6 linked regions of the Oryctolagus cuniculus genome follow. The protein of the gene in region 5 interacts with the protein of the main gene of each other region in a pairwise test. Links are inferred from orthologs where the notes say so. Each region holds a gene or a part of one and is shown on either strand. Other genes may lie near its edges.

Region 1 (2,207 bases), on a different chromosome or scaffold from region 5:
AGACCCAGAGGAAGCTCCTGGCTCCTGGCTTCAGATCGGCGCAGCTCCAGCCATTGCGGCCATCTGGGGAGTGAACCAGTGGATGGGAGACCTTTCTCTCTGTCTCTCCCTCTCACTGTCTGTATCTCTACCTCTCAGATAAATAAAATCTTTTAAAAAAAGATTTATTATTTGAAATGAAGGGGGGGGGAGAGAGAGAGAGATCTCCCATCCGCTGTATCACTCCCCAAATGACCACAGCACCCAGGAGCCAGGAACTCGATCCAGATCACCCATGTGCGTGGCAGGAGCCCACGTGCTGAGGCTCCCATCTGCTGCCTCCTGGGCACATCAGCAGAGAGCTGGACCAGAAGCACAGAGTAGCGGGACCTGAGCGAGCACTCCAATATGAGATGCCGGCATCCCAGGCAGCAGCTCGGACCCGCTGTGCCACAACTCTTTCTAATTTAACTTTATTGCGGTCATATTTTAAAGTTTGTATGGTTTTAATGCCTTCCTAATTTCTTTCTTTCTTTCTTTCTTTCTTTCTTCTTCTTCTTTTTTTTTTTTTTACAAAGCTACTTTTAATACTTTGGGGTGTGCCCCACAGGAATAAAAAACACTGGGAAGAGGTAACCCTCTCACCCCCAGGAGTGGCCCAGGGGGAGAGAGGCTACCTGAGGGGAAGGAAGCACAAAAGGGACCCGCTGCAGACTCAGGGCAAAGGGAATGCCATCGGTGCTGGGACCTGTGAGCACTACAGGAGGAAACGCGAGCATGGTGGGACTGGCTCCAGGCAGACAGGCGAAGGGCAAGAGGGCTGGACACGAAGCCACAAAGCTACTTGGGTTCCTCCTTCTTCTCGTTTGCCTTTTTCTGCTTCTGCTGCATGATCTCCGAGTCCCTCTGCTTGCGGGCGGCAGCAGACAGCCCGTCATCTCGGCGCTTTCCCTTAACCGAGTCGCTCTGCTTTTTCATATTATTCTGGCGGGCGAGTTCACGCTGGTTACCGCGGGTCATGGCGACGGCAGCGGCTCCGGCCTGCCTCCGTTGCGTCCCCTCGTTCTCTCCCGCCTTCCTAATTTCTTGAGGGCTGCATCTGGCCTGTCTTGGTGAACACACCATACACACTTAAGATTTTACAGTGTCATATTCTATAATGGGTTAGACAAGGTGGTTGATAAAGTCATTCAACCCTTTTGTCTTTTATTGACTTTTTGTTTAGTTCTATTAATTGCTGAGAGAGAGAGATGGAGAGAGAGAGGAAGAGAGATACAGATTACAATTCTCTTATTGGGATTGTGAAATTGCCTGTTTTTCTTCTCCTTTTGACTTCTGCTACATGTAGTCAGAGGCTCTGTTATTTAGAACGTAGACATTTACCATTGGAATGGCTTCCTAAATAACTGATACTTTGATCATTACAAAAATGCCCCTTTTATCTATGGTAATCTTTTTATTTATTTATTTTTAAAGATTTATTTATTTACTTGAAAGTCAGAGTTACACAGAGAAGAGGCAGAGAGGCAGAGAGAGAGGTCTTCTGTCCTCTGGTTCATTCCCCAGTTGGCTGTAAAGGCCAAAGCTGTGCCGATCCAAAGCCAGGAGCCAGGAGCCTCATCCAGGTCTCCCATGTGGGTGCAGGGGCCCAAGGACTTGGGCCATCTTCTGCTGCCTTCCCAGGCCAGAGCAGAGAGCTGGTTCGGAAGTGGAACAGCTGGAACTTGAACCCGTATGGGATGCCAGCACTGTAGGCGGTGGCTTTACCTGTTATGCCACAGTGCCGGCCCCATATTTTTATTTATTTTTGTAAAGATTTATTTATTTATTTGAAAGGGTTACAGAGAAGAATCAAAGACACACACACACACAGAGAGAGAGAGAGAGAGAGAATCTTTGATCTTCTGGTTCACTCCCCAAATGGCCACACAGCCAGGGTTTGGCCAGGCTGACGACATGAACCCAGGAGCTTCATCCAGGTCTCCCATGTGGGTGCAGGGGCCCAAGGACTTGGGCCATCTTCCGCTGATTTCCCAGGAACATCAGCAGGGAGCTGGATCGGAAGTGGAGCAGCCAGGACTTGCACTGGTGCCCATATGGGACGCCAGCACTGCAGATGGTGGCTTAACCCGCTGTGCCACAGTGCTGGCCCCCCAAATCTGTTAATCAAATAGTCATAAGTATTTTAAAGAAAATTAGGAAAATAGTCTTTCCTATTACCTAGCTCA
Region 2 (3,500 bases), on a different chromosome or scaffold from region 5:
GGGACAGGCAGAAACCCTGGCCGTGACTCCAGCCGCTGAAGGAAGGGGGCCGCCCGTGCCGTACACCTCGCTGACCCCGGCCTTCAGAGGTCACGGCAGGAGCCTGGGACTCCCTACAGGTAGACCGTTGTCTGCAACTCCGTCCTCGCCTGGGCCCCGCACTGGAGAAATGCTCGTTAGGGGTCCTGATCCCCGAAGACCCCAAGGGGAGGGCCCCCAGAAACAAGACCTCAAGAGGAGGCTGAAGGAGCCTCAGCGACCCTGCAGTTGTCCAGATGTAAAAACAAAACAAAACAAAACCTGATGTCATCAAGGAGCCTCAGACCCCACAGAGGGAGGCCACGGGCCCAGAGCCACTCACAGCGGTCGAGACAGGGGGATTCCAGCCCTGGGGGGCCTGCACTGCGTAGGAGCTGCCTCCCCCCCCCCCCCGCACACTGACCTGGCCCCGAGGGGCTTTTGCCCAAGCTGAGCTGCCGAAGCCGCCTCTGGTGGGCGCGCCCCCCGCAGTGCACCTGCGCCTGGGCGGCGGAGTTCAACTGGATGTTACACACATCACAGAGCGTGTACGACGGCCGCTTCCTCTCCCGCTTGGGCTTCGGCGCTTCGGGGGGCCGAGGGGGGCACTCAGCAGGGCCAGCTGTGGGGGGCTCCTTCTCACCCGGGGGCGATGGGCTCAGCGGCCGCTTCATACCTGAGCAGACAGAGAAAGAGAGAGAGAAATCGATGCGGCAGCAGCCAGGGGCCCCGCATCCCAGCTGAAACGCCCCAGTCTTTGGTGGCCCCCAACCCAAGGAGAGGCAAAGGGGGCGTCGTGGGATCTGTTTCAAGCACAGCAGCATTACAATGTGTGGGGACTGTGCAGGGTGTCAGAAACACCCACACACAAGGAGGCTGGCCAAGATGCCTGGGGCTTGAGAGGGCCACAGGGCAGAGTTCAGGGCTGGGGAGAGGAGGCCGCTGGGGGAGACAGCGGCGTGGCCGTGCAGTCACACGTTGGGAAGCCGGAGTCCTGTTTGCAGCCCCACAGCAGGCGCTGACACCCCTGTGACAGGCAAGCATGTGGCAGTGCGTCCTGGGGACACAGCAGCCTCTGCCCAGGGACCCAATCTTCCTGCACCTTGCACCCAGCAGGGTGACGCTCACCAGTGGTGACAGGGTGCGAAGCCACCCCAGCCCCTGCCCCACAGGGCTCCAGAGGCCTTTGCTGCCTTGGTTACCCATAATGAGACCACACTTGGTGTTCAGGGAGAGATCTGGGCCTGTTGAATACACACACACACACACACGCACACATGCATTTACATGTATGCACACACATGTGCGTGCACACACATACATGCACAGGCACACACGTGCACATGCCCCCTCAACCTGGACCCAGCCATCACCCAGGCAGGCTTTTGCCTCCAGCTCCCTTCTCAGAGACACTCCGACATGTCGGCCCCCAACTGTCCCTCAGGGACTGCACGGCTCCCTTTCTCAGACCACACTGTGTCCGCTTTTACTTCTCCCTGCCTGTGTTAGGTGGGGCTTCCGGGGAGCAGAGCCCGTGTCTCCCCCTCAGACTGGGGCAGCCTCAAGGTGAGGGCCTGAGTGAGGTCTGACTGAGCCCATTTCCTGGTCCAGACCGAATTATGTCCCCCTCAAGATGGTGCTGAAGGGGCCGGCCTTAAGCAGTGGGTTAGGCCACCGCCCGTGACACCAGCACCTGTTTGAGTCCTGGCTGCTCCACTTCTGATCCAGCTCCCTGCTAATATACCCAGGAAAGCAGCAGAAGATGGCCCGAGTGCTTGGGCCCCTGCACCCATGTGGGAGGCCCTATGGTGTTCCGGGCTCCTGGCTTTGACCTGGCCCTGTATTGGCCGTTGCGGTCATCTGGGGAGTGAGCTAGGGGATGCCTCGGGCCCAGGCTCCCAGCAAATCAGATCATGATCATCTCATCAGGCCCCACCCCCAGTGACGGGGCCCACCCCTGAGGAACCACCTGCAGTCCCGGATGCCCTGCCCTACCCTCGGGAAGCTGCCTGTCGTTCTCTGGGCCGTGGGCCCAGGCAACCTGTGTTTGTCGTGACACACGTGGGGACTGCGTGTGCGTGGATCAGATGGAGCAGGAGCTCTGAGCCGATTCACAGCTGACTCGAATCCGTGGTCGCTTACTGGCTGGGCGACCGGAGCTCTCCCCGATCTGTCCATCTGTCAAATGGGCAAATGGCAGGAGGGGCAGTGAGTAAGAGCTCCTGAGTCACAGGCACGCACACCACTGTGGGCATCGGACGAGCTGTCCGCCAAAGCCAGCTACTATTAACCCGCGACGGGTCTGGAGGATCTCTCTTTCTCTCTCTGTCTCCCTCTCTCTCTCTCTCTGTAATTTTGAATTTCAAATAAGATAAATCAATCCTAAAAAAAAAAAAAAGATAAGGCCACACTAGTGTAGCATGGGCCCCTAGTCCTCTACAGATGAATGGTGTCCGTCTACAAAGGGGAGACTTGGACACAGACTCGCACACAGGGAGAAGGCCATGGAAGATGGAGCAGACAGCAGGGGGTGCGCCCATGAGCCCAGGAACCCCAGATATCGCGGCAGCACCTGCCAGGGGCCCGGCATGAGGACAAAGCAGATTCTACTTCACAGCTCAGAGAGACCCAACCTTATGAATAATCAGGGAGTGAACCAGTAGATGGAAGACTTTTCTCTCTCTCTCTCTCTCTCTCTCTCTCTCTCTCAGTACCTCTCTCTGTAACTCTTTCAAATAAATAAAATAAATCTTTTAAAAAATCATCTTTTAAAAAAGTGAAAATAACTTGAATTTGTTTAAAAGAAGGAAGCACCCTTGCCAGCACCCCCCGCCTTGATTTGATGTTCTAGAATCCAGAACTGGAAGATGATAAATCTCTGTTAAGCACTCCCCCCCCCAGTGCGTGGCACTCTGTTGTGGCTGCCGTAGCAAATTAATGCACCAAGGGTTTGACCCTGCTGCGATCTTAGGTGCCTAGTGGTTTGAGGGTCCCATTCCCCCTGCCTGGTGCAGTGGCTGGGCTGCAGTACCAGAGATAGCCTCCAGGTGGCACAGCTAGCATCCAGTGGGAAGACAAGCCGGGAGACCCAGTAAAGCCCAGGGCAGGAGGAGGGCAAAGACCACCCCTCAGTCAGCAAGAGGCTGCTAGGCTGCACCCACCGCCCATCCCCTCCCCCGGCCAGAGCCATGTCATGGGTCCAGGGGCCTGGACACAGCCCCTTCCCCATGAAGTCACGCTGGAGGTCACTGTGAAAAGGGCTCCCAATGCTGCCGGGAGCCCCCAGCCCCTATTCTGCACCCTCAGCTCCAGACAGTGGTGATGGGGCCATCTCCTGCCTCCCCCGCCCTCCCTCCCAGCAGGACGAATGGGCAGGAAGAAGGTCCCAGGTGCAAAATTGTGTGTGTGCGTCGTCGGTGGAGGGGGGGCGGGTAAGGAGGGTCTAGCTCCCCAGGGAGGAGCAGAAGTGACTTCCCCAGCCG
Region 3 (3,500 bases), on a different chromosome or scaffold from region 5:
GTTTTTTTCATCTTGGGCAATTTGAGAGTGTATGGTCTATGTTGAGTTGGGGCTATATTTAAAATTCATCACTACTAATGTTCATGTGACCCCTGAAAGCCAACTATAGTCATCTGGTCGCTGGGGTAGGGAACAGGCAGCCCAGGGGCTGTATAAGATCTGGCTCTGCCAAGGCAACCACAGTCGGAACTCAACATTCAACAAATCTACAACAGGTTAGTTTTTAAGTTGATACTTTTTATGGCCCACAAATGATGTTATACATATCGAAATGGCTCTTGGCAGTAAACAGGTTCCCACTCCTGCTAGTGGTCACGTTTCTGATAAGGATATGAAGAGCAGTGACTTGCCCATGGATAGCATAGCCTCTTGGTGACCCAACCACTCTCCAGAGCCTAAGCAGGGTGTCTGGAATCCCTTCCTTCCTCTGCAGCCCCACCGTAGGCCAGCTTACATTTCAGCTCCAGCCCATCCACATCCACTTTGTTGCGAAGCTTCAACTGCCCACTTGGGTTTTTGGTGGCTCCGAGGAACTCATACAGCAGATTCTTCTCGGCTGGCCATGCAGGCTTCTTGGGCGGCAGGGCCATGGACGGGGTGCCCACTGGGTCGTTGCAACCCTCCTCACCACAGGTATCCTTCCGACTCTGGGGCCACTGGCTAACAAAGAGGCTGTCTTGACACTTGGTTGAGTCTTTGTTGCTAGGGTTTTGTTCTACAGTAGGAGGGAAATTAAGTCAGAGTCAGGGAAGGCACCATCCTGTGGCTGCATGACGGATCCCCCACAGCACACATCTGAGGCCCAGACCACTCAAGAGGACACTCTCAGATACATACAGCCCCAGTCTGTCCCTCGGCACTCCCCTGACCACTGTCCAGTCTAGTCTTCCTACCTCAAGCATCTACCTATTTATCCACCCATCCTTCCTTCTTTCTCTCCCTCCATCCATCTACTCACGCATCCATTAACTCACACACCCATCCACCCATATATGCTTCCATGCACACATCCATCACTCAGCCATCCACCCATCCATTAATCCATCTACCCACCCATTCACCCACACATCCATTCACCCATCCACCCATGTGTCTCTCCACCCATCCACACATCCATTCACCCATCCACCCATGTGTCTCTCCATCCATCCATCCACCCATGTATCCATTCACCCATCCACCCATGTGTCTCTCCATCCACCCATCCACCCATGTACCCATTCACCCATCCACCCATGTGTCTCTCCATCCACCCATCCACCCATGTATCCATCCATCCATCCACCCTTCTATCCATCCATTGTTAGTTTCCCTTTCCCCTTTCATCCATTCACTCATCCTTTCTTACATTATTCCTTTCTTCAACTACTTTTCTTTTCTCTGCTCCTCTCTCCCTCTTCCTTTCCTTCCTTCCACATTTCGACTTCCTTCCCTTCTTTTCTCCTCTCCTAACTCCCTCCTTTCTTCCTTCCAGCCATCCATAGTGCCAGGAAGATGACTTGGACACAGTCTTCCTTGAAGGAGCGTGCAACTGAGAGCTAAGGGTGGTCTCGCATTTCCACGGAACACAGCCTGGACCCCACAGTTTGGCACCATATCACGCCTCTACTTCTGTCTGTGGCTCACAGGTGATTCAGCTGGCTTGTCAGCTCCAGACCCTGCCCTGAGCACTGGGGACACAGTGATGAGTCAGAGCCATTCTGCCCTGCAGTAGCTCATCACATGGAAGGCGAGAGAGACATGCTCAGAAATAGCTCTGGGACAAGGCAGGTGGGACCCAGGAGGTGACAGGGGACACAATGGGAGAAGAAGATGGCTGAGACTGCTCTTTGTCTGAATGGGGCTTTGTGTTCCAAAACGAGGTGGGGTTTCAGCAAGGCAAGACATGCTGGGATGTCTGGGAGGAAGGCAAGACAGGCGTGGGAACTGGGCCAGAGGCTGCAAACTCAGAGCTGTGGGGATTCAACAGAGACGGCTGGGATGTGGGGTGGGGGCCCAGCCATTGCCAGCTTTGGCCCGGCAGTCACCCCAGAACAAGGACAGTGTCTGCACCACCATGGGGTCCTCCACAGCAGTGGCTCTCACTCACCTGAGTGCCAAAATTTTCCTGGAAAAGGTGTATTACCAACAACAAATGCATGGGTTTCCATTTTTTTCCCCACCAAAACAAGCATATGTTTTAACTCCACTTTTCCAGGAACTTGTTAAGGGACTCTTGCTTGTGATTAAGCATGGGGAGGAAATCTATTGGCAGAAAGAACTCCATATATGCAGTTGGTTTGTTCCTTTCCTTTTTTAAGGCATTGTCCTGGTTGAAGCAGGGAAGAGAGCTTTGTGCACCCACCCGGCCCCATCCACTCCTCCTCTGGGCCTGGGATCTCAAAAGTTCTCCCTGGAGCTTGGCTAGGAGACCCGGTCACCTGCTGGATGACTGTCCCCATGCTGGACATACTGCAGGCCTCTGGGCTCCCTCTGGGAGTGGCCCCATCTGAAGACCTGTGCCTCAGCTGCCCATTAGGAGTGTACCCCATCCTCCCAGCTCTTTGACCCCAGCACTGCAGGCTCAGTGGCCACGATGGGACTGGGCCTGCCCTCCTAACACCATCCTAGCACAGGAAAGAGCTGTGCTAGCCTGAGCCGATTTAGGAGAAAGCAACATTTTTAGCAAAAACACATCCCTAGAGTCTCTTCCAAGAGTTCATCTGGTTGCCGAGTTTAGCCCCCAGCCAGCATGCGGAAATACCAGCACTCACTAATAATATCCCTCTCCCCAGAGACCTCAGTACCTGCAGCCTCGCGCGCACACCTACAGTTGCCTGAAACATCTACAGAGCTCCTTCCTCCAAGAGCCAGGCCCACACTTTCCTGCCTGCCATTCCTTTGTCTGCACTGACACGTGTGCAAGCACACACCTGCCACACATGCACAAGAATGTACAGAGACGCACTCAGCTGCACCACAGCTGCATTTTCTCTGACACACACACATTCATATCTGCAAAGCTCTCTTTAGAACCTCTTGGCTCATGCATCTGTACACACACACACACACACACACACAGTGGTACTAGTGGTTGGGGCCTAGCACCCCTATCTAACAGGGAGGTTTCCTGGGCAGGACTCAATCCTCTCACAAGCCCATTCCATGGTCCCAAAGCCCTCGGGCTGCTCCAACCTGTCCAACACCCAGATTCTAGCTCTCTGGCCACAGCTCGATTCCCTGGCTTGTCCACAATGCCACACAACACACAGTGTTCTCATGGGGGACCTTGCTCCTGTTTTCTCAGGGAGATGGGTTCAGGCCCTCTTGATACCCCCCACCCGCAGTGGTCCACCCCTGTTCCTCACAGCCTGGGGTCCTTTTCCCCTCTGGGTGACATGAGTATGACCTGCTCTCCAAGTGACTGCTGACTGTGCATAAATGCCACTGCAATCGGTCTGAGCAGCTAGATCAGGGGGGAAAAAAGGCCAAATCACTGGAGAGGAGGTGGGGGTAATTTA
Region 4 (3,500 bases), on a different chromosome or scaffold from region 5:
AATCAAGTCAAACAGAATTCATGCCTAATACTTACTTTTAAGTATTTATTACTTATTAAATTACTTATTAAAATACATACAGATAAAAATGATGCATGTTTGAGATCTGCTTCCGAATAATATGGGAAGGGTGGAGAAACTGGGAGGATATATGACATGACAATAATTTAATAATGGCTTAAGTTGGATGTGAGTTCATGGGATTCACTATAATATTCACATTATGTATACTTATATATATACTTATATTTCTCCATTTAAAAGTACTTTTTTTAAAGCAAAAATAAAATGTTTAATATTATGGGCAGGTTAATTTAAATATACATTTCTTCTAAGTATACTAAGTTATTCAACAGGCAATTATACTATTACCTTGTAAAAAAAAGGGATTCAAGAACAACCTCTGTATTATCAACAGGAATACAAAAAAAAGTTATCAAAAGAAAACAAACATGTATACAAAAAAGTGGCTATTTAACAGTGATGATTATCAGTTGTGTTCTGTTATCAGGTAAATGACCAACAGTTGTTAGATAGATGGGTGTGACCCCTGGAATCAGTACAAAACTTCTCTTGCCAAAAAAAAAACACAGGGCCAGCATTACAGCAAAGTGAGTGAAGCTGCCGCATGCAACGCAGGCATCCCTTATGGACACGAGTTTGTGTCTTCCTGGTTGCTCAACTTTTCGATCCAGCCTGAGAAAAGCAGCAGAAGATGGCCCAAGTGTTTGGGACCCTGCACCCATGTGGGAAAATCTTTAGCCTGGCTCTGCCCTGACCATTGCAGCCATCTGGGGAGTAAACCAGCAGATGGAAGGCCTCTGTCTCACCCTCTCTCTCTACTGACTTTCAAATAAAGAAATATTTCAAAAATAATAAAACAAAAAACAAAACTAAGTAAAATATAAGCCCTCCTAATACACACATCCATTCATTCCTAACTTGGTTTTCCAGGGTATTCCAATATTTCCTAAATTTCTCAGGGGAGAACAAAATACTATAAGCACCGCTTTACAGTATATCTACAAGCTATCTTTCTTATCAACTTCCTTCTTCTAATTCCAAGGCTACATCACAAGCACATAACTCTCAAAAATTACATGCAAATGTTGTATTAGAACCTATGAATTCTTGGGGCTGGCACCGTGGCTCACTTGGTTAATCCTCCGCCTGCAGCGCCAGCATCCCACATGGGCGCCGGGTTCTAGTCCCAGTTGCTCCTCTTCCAGTCCAGCTCTCTGCTGTGGCCCGGGAAGGCAGTGGAGAATGGCCCAAGTGCTTGGACCCTGCCCTGTGTGGGAGACCAGGAGGAAGCTCCTGGCTCCTGGCTCTGGATCGGCGCAGCACGCCAGCCATAGCAGCCATTTGGGGGTGAACCAAGGGAAGACCTTTCTTTCTGTCTCTCTCTCTGTCTATAACCCCACCTGTCAAATATTAAAAAAAAAAAAAAAAAAAAAAAAACTATGAATTCTTGAAAAATGGTCTACATTTTTAATCAGATTCTTTAAAACTGGTCCTTTTTGTTTGGAGAGGTGGGTTTCAGAATATGTAATGTCTGACCATAAAGAGTTTCATCATAAAGTGACCAAGAAGATTTCTTTATAAGATTCCAGCAAATCTCCAATATGTTATAAAATAGGTAGAACTACAAAATATTCTCACCAAATACTTTTGGAGCAATTAACACAAATTCCACATGACTGGAAGAAGAAAGAAAGAGGGAAATTATGGAATCTGCCTCTTAATAAGCTATAACTAAAGAAAAAAAAAACCATGGCTCCAAAATTATTTAGGAGCCAAAAATAGAATATCTCAGAACCTAAAGGTTGCAAGGATTACAGGTGCCACTTTTTCATAAAAAAATCATCTCCATTAAGCCCTTTAACATTCATTCCTGACTTTGTTTTTAAAAATCCATAATACGGAAAGTGTTACATAAAAGTTATAAGCAAATAAGAACTATGTAAAAAAAAAATCAAGCTTTTTAAAGTGTGACATCTAAGAATCTTAAAAATTAAGAAAAGTAGTTTTTAAAAATCTACTTTCAAGGGGCTGGCGCCATGGATCACTTGGTTAATCCTCCGCCTTGCAGCACTAGCATCCCATATGGGTGCTGGGTTCTAGTCCTGGCTGCTCCTCTCCCAGTCCAGCTCTCTGCTGTGGCCCGGGAGGGCACTGGAAGATGGTCCAGGTGCTTGGGCCCTGCACCCGCATGGGAGACCAGGAAGAAGCACCTGGCTCCTGGCTTCAGATCGGCGCAGCGCCGGCCGTGGCAGCCATGTGGAGAGTGAACCAACGGAGGGAAGACCTTTCTCTCTGTCTCTCTATGACTCTACCTTTCAAATAAATTAAAAAAAATATATATATTTTTTCAAGCCACACTATATACTTAAATTTCCAAAAATATGTCCATTCCATTTGTTAATTATCTTTATCTTAACATAAATAGTACCTATCATGTATAAAATGAAAGCAAAAAAATCAGTTTTTTATATTAAAAATTGTGTTTCAAACAATTGTTATATGCTTTTACTACACTATTTTTTTTACTTGAACCTATATAATATACTTCAAGAAATAATTTTCAATTTCTAAAATTAATCACCTATTACACCGGAAAGCGTTCAATGAGTTAGAGGTTTGAAAACCGACAGATATTATGAAACTAGTGTAAGACTAGTTTTAGAAGACTCAAACATCACTCTGTAAGATGGGATTTCCAAGCCCTATCCTCCAATAGGTTTGTAATGAGATGAAGAAACTGGTATAATGAAACCTCCAGTAAGCCTGATGAACAGCTGGCCAAGTTTGAGAACACAGACATAGACGATGAACACTACCACAGAGGCAGAAACAAGAGTTACACTGAGGATGCCACCCTACTCCTACTAAAGGGCTTAAAAAAAGCAAATCTAAAAAGGTCTGCAAGAAAAGATGTAACAATAAATCAAATTTAAGCTGATTCATGGTTTACCATTGTCAGGAATACTGGTGGGAGGTCCTGGCTCTCCAGGTGGCTCCAAGCTGTCCAATAAGCGATTCACTTTATTGCGAAGCTCTATCAGTTCTCGACGGAGGTATTTCACCTGACTTGATTCAAGGGGTCTGGGTTGACCATTAACTGAAATAAAAGCATTAGTTTGGTGGAAATTAGTAGATGTTCCTGAAAAAGTATATCAATAGAATAATATGCAATAAGGAAAAATAAGTACAATTCCTTTAAAAAGTGAAACAAAATTAAAGATACCTACTGATGTCACTAGAATAACTCTTTAAAGGAAAAGACCTTCATTACTAATAGCTTACATTTCTAAGAAAATAAACATTCATCAGTCTTTCTTGATGTCAGACCCACCTATGACCTTATTGGCAAAAAGGCATAGAAGAATTCCATTACCCACAGCAAACAACACTTTCTTGAACCTGATACAAAATCACATAATGCAAGCTGATGCACCGTAAAAGATTGTTTCTAACATCTTACTGAGACACGTACTGTT
Region 5 (3,311 bases):
GATATTTTTAGTTAACAAGAGGATTAAAATATTGTTCTATTAAATAAAGGTAGTATAGGCCGGCGCCGCGGCTCACTAGGCTAATCCTCCGCCTAGCGGCGCCGGCACACCGGGTTCTAGTCCCGGTCGGGGCGCCGGATTCTGTCCCGGTTGCCCCTCTTCCAGGCCAGCTCTCTGCTGTGGCCAGGGAGTGCAGTGGAGGATGGCCCAGGTGCTTGGGCCCTGCACCCCATGGGAGACCAGGAAAAGCACCTGGCTCCTGGCTTCAGATCAGTGCGGTGCGCCGGCCGCAGCAGCCATTGGAGGGTGAACCAACGGCAAAAGGAAGACCTTTCTCTCTGTCTCTCTCTCACTGTCCACTCTGCCTGTCAAAAAAATAAATAAATAAATTAAATAAAGGTAGTATATTAATAATTCTCTAATTTTTCTCTGGAGAGGTGTTTTCTTGTCCACAGGATCCAACTCTAAATCGTTTAACAAATCTTTACCAGAGTTCAGGGATGCAAAAGGAAGTATAACCTATCAATTTAGAAATGCCATTGGGGATACCACCTCAGACCCCTTATAGCAAGTCTCTTTTTATAGCTGTAGGATTCCTCCCTGTCCAGCAGCAGGTTATAGGGTATCCTACTCTTTTTAGTGGGAATTTCCTTAAGCAAACCTTTTCTCTCCAGAATCCATGCCCAGTTATTCTTATTTTTTTTTAATTTTTCCCTTAAGTAATTGTAAAATTAGTCATTTAAAATGCATTGAAACCCTAATCTTGTTTAAATCTCTTAATAGGAACAAGGTTACATTGTGTGAGAAGAAGCTTTTCCCAGCCTTCATCTGTAGGTTTGAAACCCCGGTATTCTCAAAGCCCACATTTTCATCCTAGAAAAAATTTCAGAGCAGAGGAGTCAATTCTTACTCCACCTTCCTCTACTGATTCTGTTAAGTAGAATCCTGGATAACTATTTTGTCTGGTAATAGAAAACAACTAGCCCTGTATGTGGTCTGGTAAAAAATAGAGGGTTTGGGATGTGTTATAGGTTAAATGTTCTCTTGCTTTTGTAAGACAACTAAAGAAATATTAGTAGCCAGAACACTGGAGGTGCAGGATAAAATCATGATATCCTTGATTTATTCACACACTTAAGTAATGTAGATGTCAAATTGTAGCAAATAGAACAAAGATTATAAGACAAATAAATAACTTGATAAAGTTTTAAAAATTTAGTCATCTGGCAGTCTTATTAACTTGATAATCTCATATAAAAGCACTTAAAAACATCTTTGGTGTTTGGGTTTTTCAGTTTTACTCCAGATGTTTCATATTTGTAGACACAGCCATGGCATATACAGAATAAATGTAGCAACGAGCCACTTGTAATATGGTATCATTCAAAAATACACTATCGGCCGGCGCCGCAGCTCACTAGGCTAATCCTCCGCCTAGCGGCGCCGGCACACCGGATTCTGTCCCGGTTGCCCCTCTTCCAGGCCAGCCCTCTGCTGTGGCCAGGGAGTGCAGTGGAGGATGGCCCAGGTGCTTGGGCCCTGCACCCCACGGGAGACCAGGAAAAGCACCTGGCTCCTGGCTCCTGCCATCGGATCAGCGCGGTGCGCCGGCCGCATCGCACTGGCCGCGGCGGCCATTGGAGGGTGAACCAACGGCAAAGGAAGACCTTTCTCTCTGTCTCTCTCTCACTGTCCACTCTGCCTGTCAAAAAAATAAATAAATAAATTAAATAAAGGTAGTATATTAATAATTCTCTAATTTTTCTCTGGAGAGGTGTTTTCTTGTCCACAGGATCCAACTCTAAATCGTTTAACAAATCTTTACCAGAGTTCAGGGATGCAAAAGGAAGTATAACCTATCAATTTAGAAATGCCATTGGGGATACCACCTCAGACCCCTTATAGCAAGTCTCTTTTTATAGCTGTAGGATTCCTCCCTGTCCAGCAGCAGGTTATAGGGTATCCTACTCTTTTTAGTGGGAATTTCCTTAAGCAAACCTTTTCTCTCCAGAATCCATGCCCAGTTATTCTTATTTTTTTTTAATTTTTCCCTTAAGTAATTGTAAAATTAGTCATTTAAAATGCATTGAAACCCTAATCTTGTTTAAATCTCTTAATAGGAACAAGGTTACATTGTGTGAGAAGAAGCTTTTCCCAGCCTTCATCTGTAGGTTTGAAACCCCGGTATTCTCAAAGCCCACATTTTCATCCTAGAAAAAATTTCAGAGCAGAGGAGTCAATTCTTACTCCACCTTCCTCTACTGATTCTGTTAAGTAGAATCCTGGATAACTATTTTGTCTGGTAATAGAAAACAACTAGCCCTGTATGTGGTCTGGTAAAAAATAGAGGGTTTGGGATGTGTTATAGGTTAAATGTTCTCTTGCTTTTGTAAGACAACTAAAGAAATATTAGTAGCCAGAACACTGGAGGTGCAGGATAAAATCATGATATCCTTGATTTATTCACACACTTAAGTAATGTAGATGTCAAATTGTAGCAAATAGAACAAAGATTATAAGACAAATAAATAACTTGATAAAGTTTTAAAAATTTAGTCATCTGGCAGTCTTATTAACTTGATAATCTCATATAAAAGCACTTAAAAACATCTTTGGTGTTTGGGTTTTTCAGTTTTACTCCAGATGTTTCATATTTGTAGACACAGCCATGGCATATACAGAATAAATGTAGCAACGAGCCACTTGTAATATGGTATCATTCAAAAATACACTATCGGCCGGCGCCGCAGCTCACTAGGCTAATCCTCCGCCTAGCGGCGCCGGCACACCGGATTCTGTCCCGGTTGCCCCTCTTCCAGGCCAGCCCTCTGCTGTGGCCAGGGAGTGCAGTGGAGGATGGCCCAGGTGCTTGGGCCCTGCACCCCACGGGAGACCAGGAAAAGCACCTGGCTCCTGGCTCCTGCCATCGGATCAGCGCGGTGCGCCGGCCGCATCGCACTGGCCGCGGCGGCCATTGGAGGGTGAACCAACGGCAAAGGAAGACCTTTCTCTCTGTCTCTCTCTCTCACTGTCCACTCTGCCTGTCAAAAAAAAAAAATAATAATAATAATAATAATAATAATAATAATACACTATCTTGTTAGGAAGGAAAGTAATATGTACAGAGTAGATTCTAGCTTCTACATTATTTTGGTTTCATTGTATTTAGGTTTGTATATATTTTACCTCCATTAAATGTTTTTAATAAAACATTTCAAATTGTAGGTTTAGATGGGAAATTCTGGCAGGCAGTGATACATATAAAAATAATTGTGTATGTATACAATATATGTATATGTGTGTGTTTACCT
Region 6 (4,074 bases), on a different chromosome or scaffold from region 5:
CATAAATCTCAAAAAAAAAAAAAAAAAGAAAAAAGAAACCTGACAGGCATGCAACAGCTGTTCAATAAAGATTAGTTACAAGAGTAAAGGAACACTGAATTTATAGACACACACACACACAGTTTCTTTCACCAATTTGTCTCCACACCTTAACTGTGCGTACCTTAAGGACAGGGAATCTGACTTACATGTTTCCAGAAATCACCTTGTACAAATACTTTATTGCACAAGCAGGGAAACAAAAGCCCCAAAATAAGAGGTTTCCCTAAACCCATACAGCAGTCTGGCAGAATCAATGACCGGAACACCGGCGTGCCACGGTGTGCCAGACCTCCAACCTGCCAATGTATAAAGTGAGAAGAGTATTCTCCGTGCCAGTTCCAGGTTGCCCATCTGCACCCACACTCATCCACGCCTTCCTCTGCACACCCCCACCCCGCGAAGTCCCCAGACGCTGCTCTATACCCAAATACCACTGCTCTTGGTTTGAAGGCAACAAGCAAATAATGGACCCCAGGTCCAACCGTGCCAACTACGACTGAACACACACACACACACAGAGCACAGGCACACACTAACAGCACCTCGCCCAGTCTTCCCTCCTTCCATCCAGTGGCAACCCACCCGCACCTGAAGTCTCCTGGTATGCCTCTCTATTTTCCATGGCCATGAGTTTTACTCCTCCTTGCCAGAGTTCTAATGGAGAATGGAAGCAGGCAAAGAAAAGAATTCAAAAATAAACAGCAAGAGGGTCACGTTACCCAAACCAACATTGGTAACAGGACAGACTCCACAACGGACAGGGAGAGGTGCAGGGCACGCACACCGGGCTTAAGCAGAGCTCGGGCTCCAACACAGGAAGTCAGGCAGAGCCTCGCCGAGCAGGGAGGGAGCACAGGAAGTCTTCTAGCACAGCAGAGATTTCCAAGAGTTGGTGGAATGGAGACAGCCCAGGAACAGGAATCAGAAGGCCACACTGCTGGTTCTAGACTCCCGGCCGCTACTGGGCGAGAGGCAGGCAGATGGTCGTCCTGGGACTGCGACTCCCCCTCTATAAAACGAGGTAGTTAAAAACATGCAGGGGCTTCAATACCCACCAAAAAAAAAAAACCACTGATTCTCCTCCAGCAAAAAGTGCATATCAACTATTCTGCTTAAAAATCTTCCAAGTCTATCCAGGTTAACAGCCCCTGGAAAAGATGTCACCTCTGGTCCCTCTCCTCCTAACGTTCTATGATTCCAAGAGAATCAGATGTCAAAATAACGGGTGGCAGGCCAGTCCCACTCACCTGTTCATAGCAAGCATGCCCGAACAGAGACCAAATCCTAAAACCTACCAAACTCAGCTGGCGCCATCCACACCTCTCCCACTCACGACTCAAATCGGCCCGCTTATCCTTGGGTCCACAAGCCAGAATCCAGGCTTCTAAGAAGCCCATAAATTCCCTTTGATACCCCAGGACAATGAAGAGAGAGCTATACGGTGCCCTAACCATGTTAAGTACAGGAGAGACCTGTCCCGTGTCTCTCTTCAAACTCAACCGCACGAGCCGCAAAGTGAAGAGGCTGAGCACCCCAGTGCCCACGCCACCCCGCGGTCTCCCCGCGCCTCCCACTCACTGGGGAACTGATTGAACCCACAACCCAAGCCACATCCCCTTTGGGCTCTCTCGAGGAGTTTCTTCGCTTTTCGCTTCTCTCGTCCACACGCCGCTCCCCTACCCCAGCCCAGGGTGTGCGAGGGCCGCCAAAAAGGCACTCCTCCTCCTCGAGAGGCTCCCACCACGGCCCCCTCGCCCCCCACTCAGCCCCGCGGCTCTCCGGGCCAACCCCACACCCAGGACTTCCCAGCTTCCACTCCACCCTCGGAAGCCAAGGCAGGGTTTGAAGACGTGGACTCCAACCCGCCCAGGGTCGACTCCCCCCAAAAGCCTCATCGACGCAGGACCCTCCCGAGCACCCCGGGATCCTGCCGTACCCGAGCTCGCCCCAGCTTCCAAGAAGGCCCCGGCCCGCCCCTGCCCACCTCCCCCCGGGACCCCGCGGAGCCCTCCCCCTCTCCAAGCCCCGGAGCCCGGGCCGCCCCCCCCGCCAGGCACGTTCCGCACCCCCGCGATAACGGGGCGCCCCGAGCCGCGCGGTCACCTGCATCCCGCCGCCGCCGTCGGCCGCCGCCTCCTCGGTGCGCGGCCGCTTGCTCAGGCCGGGTTCGGCTCCGTCTCCTCCCGCTCCGGGCACCGGCAGCTCCAGCTCCGACTCCCGCTTCATGCCCCGGGCAGTGGCGCCGGGCCCGAGCTGAGACGGCTGCTGCGGCTGGGCGCCTTCCGCCATCCGCCCGCGCCCCCCTCGCCTCCGGGAGCCGGGCGACCTGCGACAGGCCACCTCCCCCTGGGCCTCGGCCCCGACTGTCGCGACAGGCGGGTGCGCGCCTGCCCCCGCCCCCCGCGTGCGTGCGTGCGTGCGCGCGCGCGGGCCCGGCGCCCCTCCGCGGCTGGCTCGCGCCCGCCGCTCCTCGGGGTCGTCGGCGTGGGGCCGCCGGCGGCTCGCGACGGGCCCTCGCTCGCGCCCCGGCACGCACACGCGACGCCCGGCCGGCCCGCCGCGCCGCGCCGCCTCTGGCGCCCCCGGAGCTCGGCCGCTGGCCCGCGCTCGGCCGCTCGCACTCTCCCTCACCGCACGCCGGCCGAGGGAGGAAGGGGGCGGTCCGGCTCCCGAGGCGTGGGGAGGGCTGTTTATTTGGGGGGGGGAGAGGAGGGGCGCGAGGCTGGGACGAGCTGACTGGCCGGGATCCTCCGACCCGCCACTGTGGCAGCGCCGGGAAGGCGGGGAGAGAGAAAGAGGGAAGGAGGGACCGGGATGGACGACTCCCGCCCGCGCGGGAGGCTGAGGCGAGGGGGCGGCGGCGGCGGCGGCGGCGGCGGCGAGCCCGCCGAAGGGGCGTGGCCAGCGCCCCTCGGCAATCTCCGCGGCCTCCGCGCCCGCCGCCCGAGGGAGGCCGGGAAGAGCTCGGGGACACTCGGGAATCTCCGGCCCCGGCGCGGGATCGGCCTGGAGGCGCGGCGCGGCGGGGGCGGGGCCTGCCGCCTCTGGGGGCGGGGCGTCGGCCTGGGGCAGGCCTGAGGGCTGGGAAGCAGCTCCGGTTTGCTGGACTAGTTGTTCGGAGTTGTGTCCTCGGTTCGCTTGTCCAGCCGCCTTCTTTCTGCTTAGGGGTGGGGCCTCCCATAGAAGAATGGGATCTCGAGTCTAGGGTCGGAGCCGCTCCTGCGTGGCGCTCTGCAATTCTGAGAGCTTCCGCTCTAATCGTAATTATTATATCGCTGGTGATCTTAATTATCTCCGATGCGTGTAAGAGCTCTAAGGTTTGCATAGTGCGTGCACACCCGTTTTGAGGCTGGTGGGTAGATGGAGACCGTGGTCTCCAAGGTGGCAGATCCAGATCGCAGGCCGCCGGGTCATATTCGCGATTCACTTTCTTAGCACCTTGCGGCATGAATGGCACTTCATTGCTTATCAACTTTGTGTGGCTGGAGATGTGTACAATGAGTTTTCTCTCTCACCCCATGATGTGCCCTGTAGATGAAGTCCCAGGAATAAAATGATGTGTGTATGACCTAGATGCTAGCCTTGGACTTGCTATCTAGTTTACACAAGTTACTTCATCCCTTTGAACCTCAGCTCGATCATTTGTAAAATTCGGCAATTTTTATGATTGATTGATTGATTTGAAAGGCACAGTGACAGAGAGAGCTTCCCTCCACTGGTTCACTCCCCCAAGTGGCCACAGTAGCCAGGGCTGGGCCAGGACAAAGCCAGGAGACCTGGGTCTCCCACATGGATAGCAGGGGTCCAAATACTTGGGCCACCATCTGCTGCTTTCCCAGCACATTAATAGGGAGCTCAGAAGCAGAGCAGCAGGGACTCAAACCAAATATGGGATGCTGGCGTCACTAGCAGCTTAACCAGCCCTGCCACAATGCCAGTCCCAGGGAGATGGTTTCTTTTGTTTTTGAGATTTTATTTATTTGAGAGGCAGAGTTACAGAGAGGGAGGGAGAGAGAGAGAGGGCTTCCATCC

The links.
Region 1: the proteins of BOLL (region 5) and small EDRK-rich factor 2 interact in a two-hybrid assay, tested with the Homo sapiens proteins (2 studies listed by BioGRID and IntAct). The two-hybrid records come from large-scale screens. The link is inferred for Oryctolagus cuniculus from reciprocal best matches to the Homo sapiens genes BOLL and SERF2.
Region 2: the proteins of BOLL (region 5) and ZNF385C interact in a two-hybrid assay, tested with the Homo sapiens proteins (2 studies listed by BioGRID). The two-hybrid records come from large-scale screens. The link is inferred for Oryctolagus cuniculus from reciprocal best matches to the Homo sapiens genes BOLL and ZNF385C.
Region 3: the proteins of BOLL (region 5) and C7H1orf94 interact in binary tests that used the Homo sapiens proteins (3 or more experiments, as listed by UniProt). The two-hybrid records come from large-scale screens. The link is inferred for Oryctolagus cuniculus from reciprocal best matches to the Homo sapiens genes BOLL and C1orf94.
Region 4: the proteins of BOLL (region 5) and TFG interact in binary tests that used the Homo sapiens proteins (3 or more experiments, as listed by UniProt). The two-hybrid records come from large-scale screens. The link is inferred for Oryctolagus cuniculus from reciprocal best matches to the Homo sapiens genes BOLL and TFG.
Region 6: the proteins of BOLL (region 5) and RBFOX2 interact in binary tests that used the Homo sapiens proteins (3 or more experiments, as listed by UniProt). The two-hybrid records come from large-scale screens. The link is inferred for Oryctolagus cuniculus from reciprocal best matches to the Homo sapiens genes BOLL and RBFOX2.

Annotation. Positions count from the first base shown.
Region 1 is NC_091438.1:8,272,160-8,274,366, reverse strand, and holds small EDRK-rich factor 2, read right to left. Parts: upstream 1,059-2,207; 5' UTR 1,000-1,058; coding exon 820-999; 3' UTR 501-819; downstream 1-500. UniProt on the Homo sapiens protein: Positive regulator of amyloid protein aggregation and proteotoxicity. Induces conformational changes in amyloid proteins, such as HTT, driving them into compact formations preceding the formation of aggregates.
Region 2 is NC_091448.1:20,707,216-20,710,715, reverse strand, and holds part of ZNF385C (zinc finger protein 385C), read right to left. Parts: intron 2,290-3,500; exon of another isoform or gene 2,014-2,289; intron 695-2,013; coding exon 443-694; intron 1-442.
Region 3 is NC_091438.1:138,426,454-138,429,953, forward strand, and holds part of C7H1orf94 (uncharacterized protein C1orf94 homolog), read right to left. Parts: intron 716-3,500; coding exon 455-715; intron 1-454.
Region 4 is NC_091435.1:55,295,295-55,298,794, reverse strand, and holds part of TFG (protein TFG), read right to left. Parts: intron 3,122-3,500; coding exon 2,975-3,121; intron 1-2,974. UniProt on the Homo sapiens protein: Plays a role in the normal dynamic function of the endoplasmic reticulum (ER) and its associated microtubules. Required for secretory cargo traffic from the endoplasmic reticulum to the Golgi apparatus.
Region 5 is NC_091434.1:42,598,313-42,601,623, forward strand, and holds the end of BOLL (protein boule-like), read left to right. Parts: intron 1-790; coding exon 791-941; 3' UTR 942-2,811; downstream 2,812-3,311. UniProt on the Homo sapiens protein: Probable RNA-binding protein, which may be required during spermatogenesis. May act by binding to the 3'-UTR of mRNAs and regulating their translation.
Region 6 is NC_091442.1:113,493,836-113,497,909, forward strand, and holds the start of RBFOX2 (RNA binding protein fox-1 homolog 2), read right to left. Parts: upstream 2,801-4,074; 5' UTR 2,332-2,800; coding exon 2,146-2,331; intron 1-2,145. UniProt on the Homo sapiens protein: RNA-binding protein that regulates alternative splicing events by binding to 5'-UGCAUGU-3' elements. Prevents binding of U2AF2 to the 3'-splice site.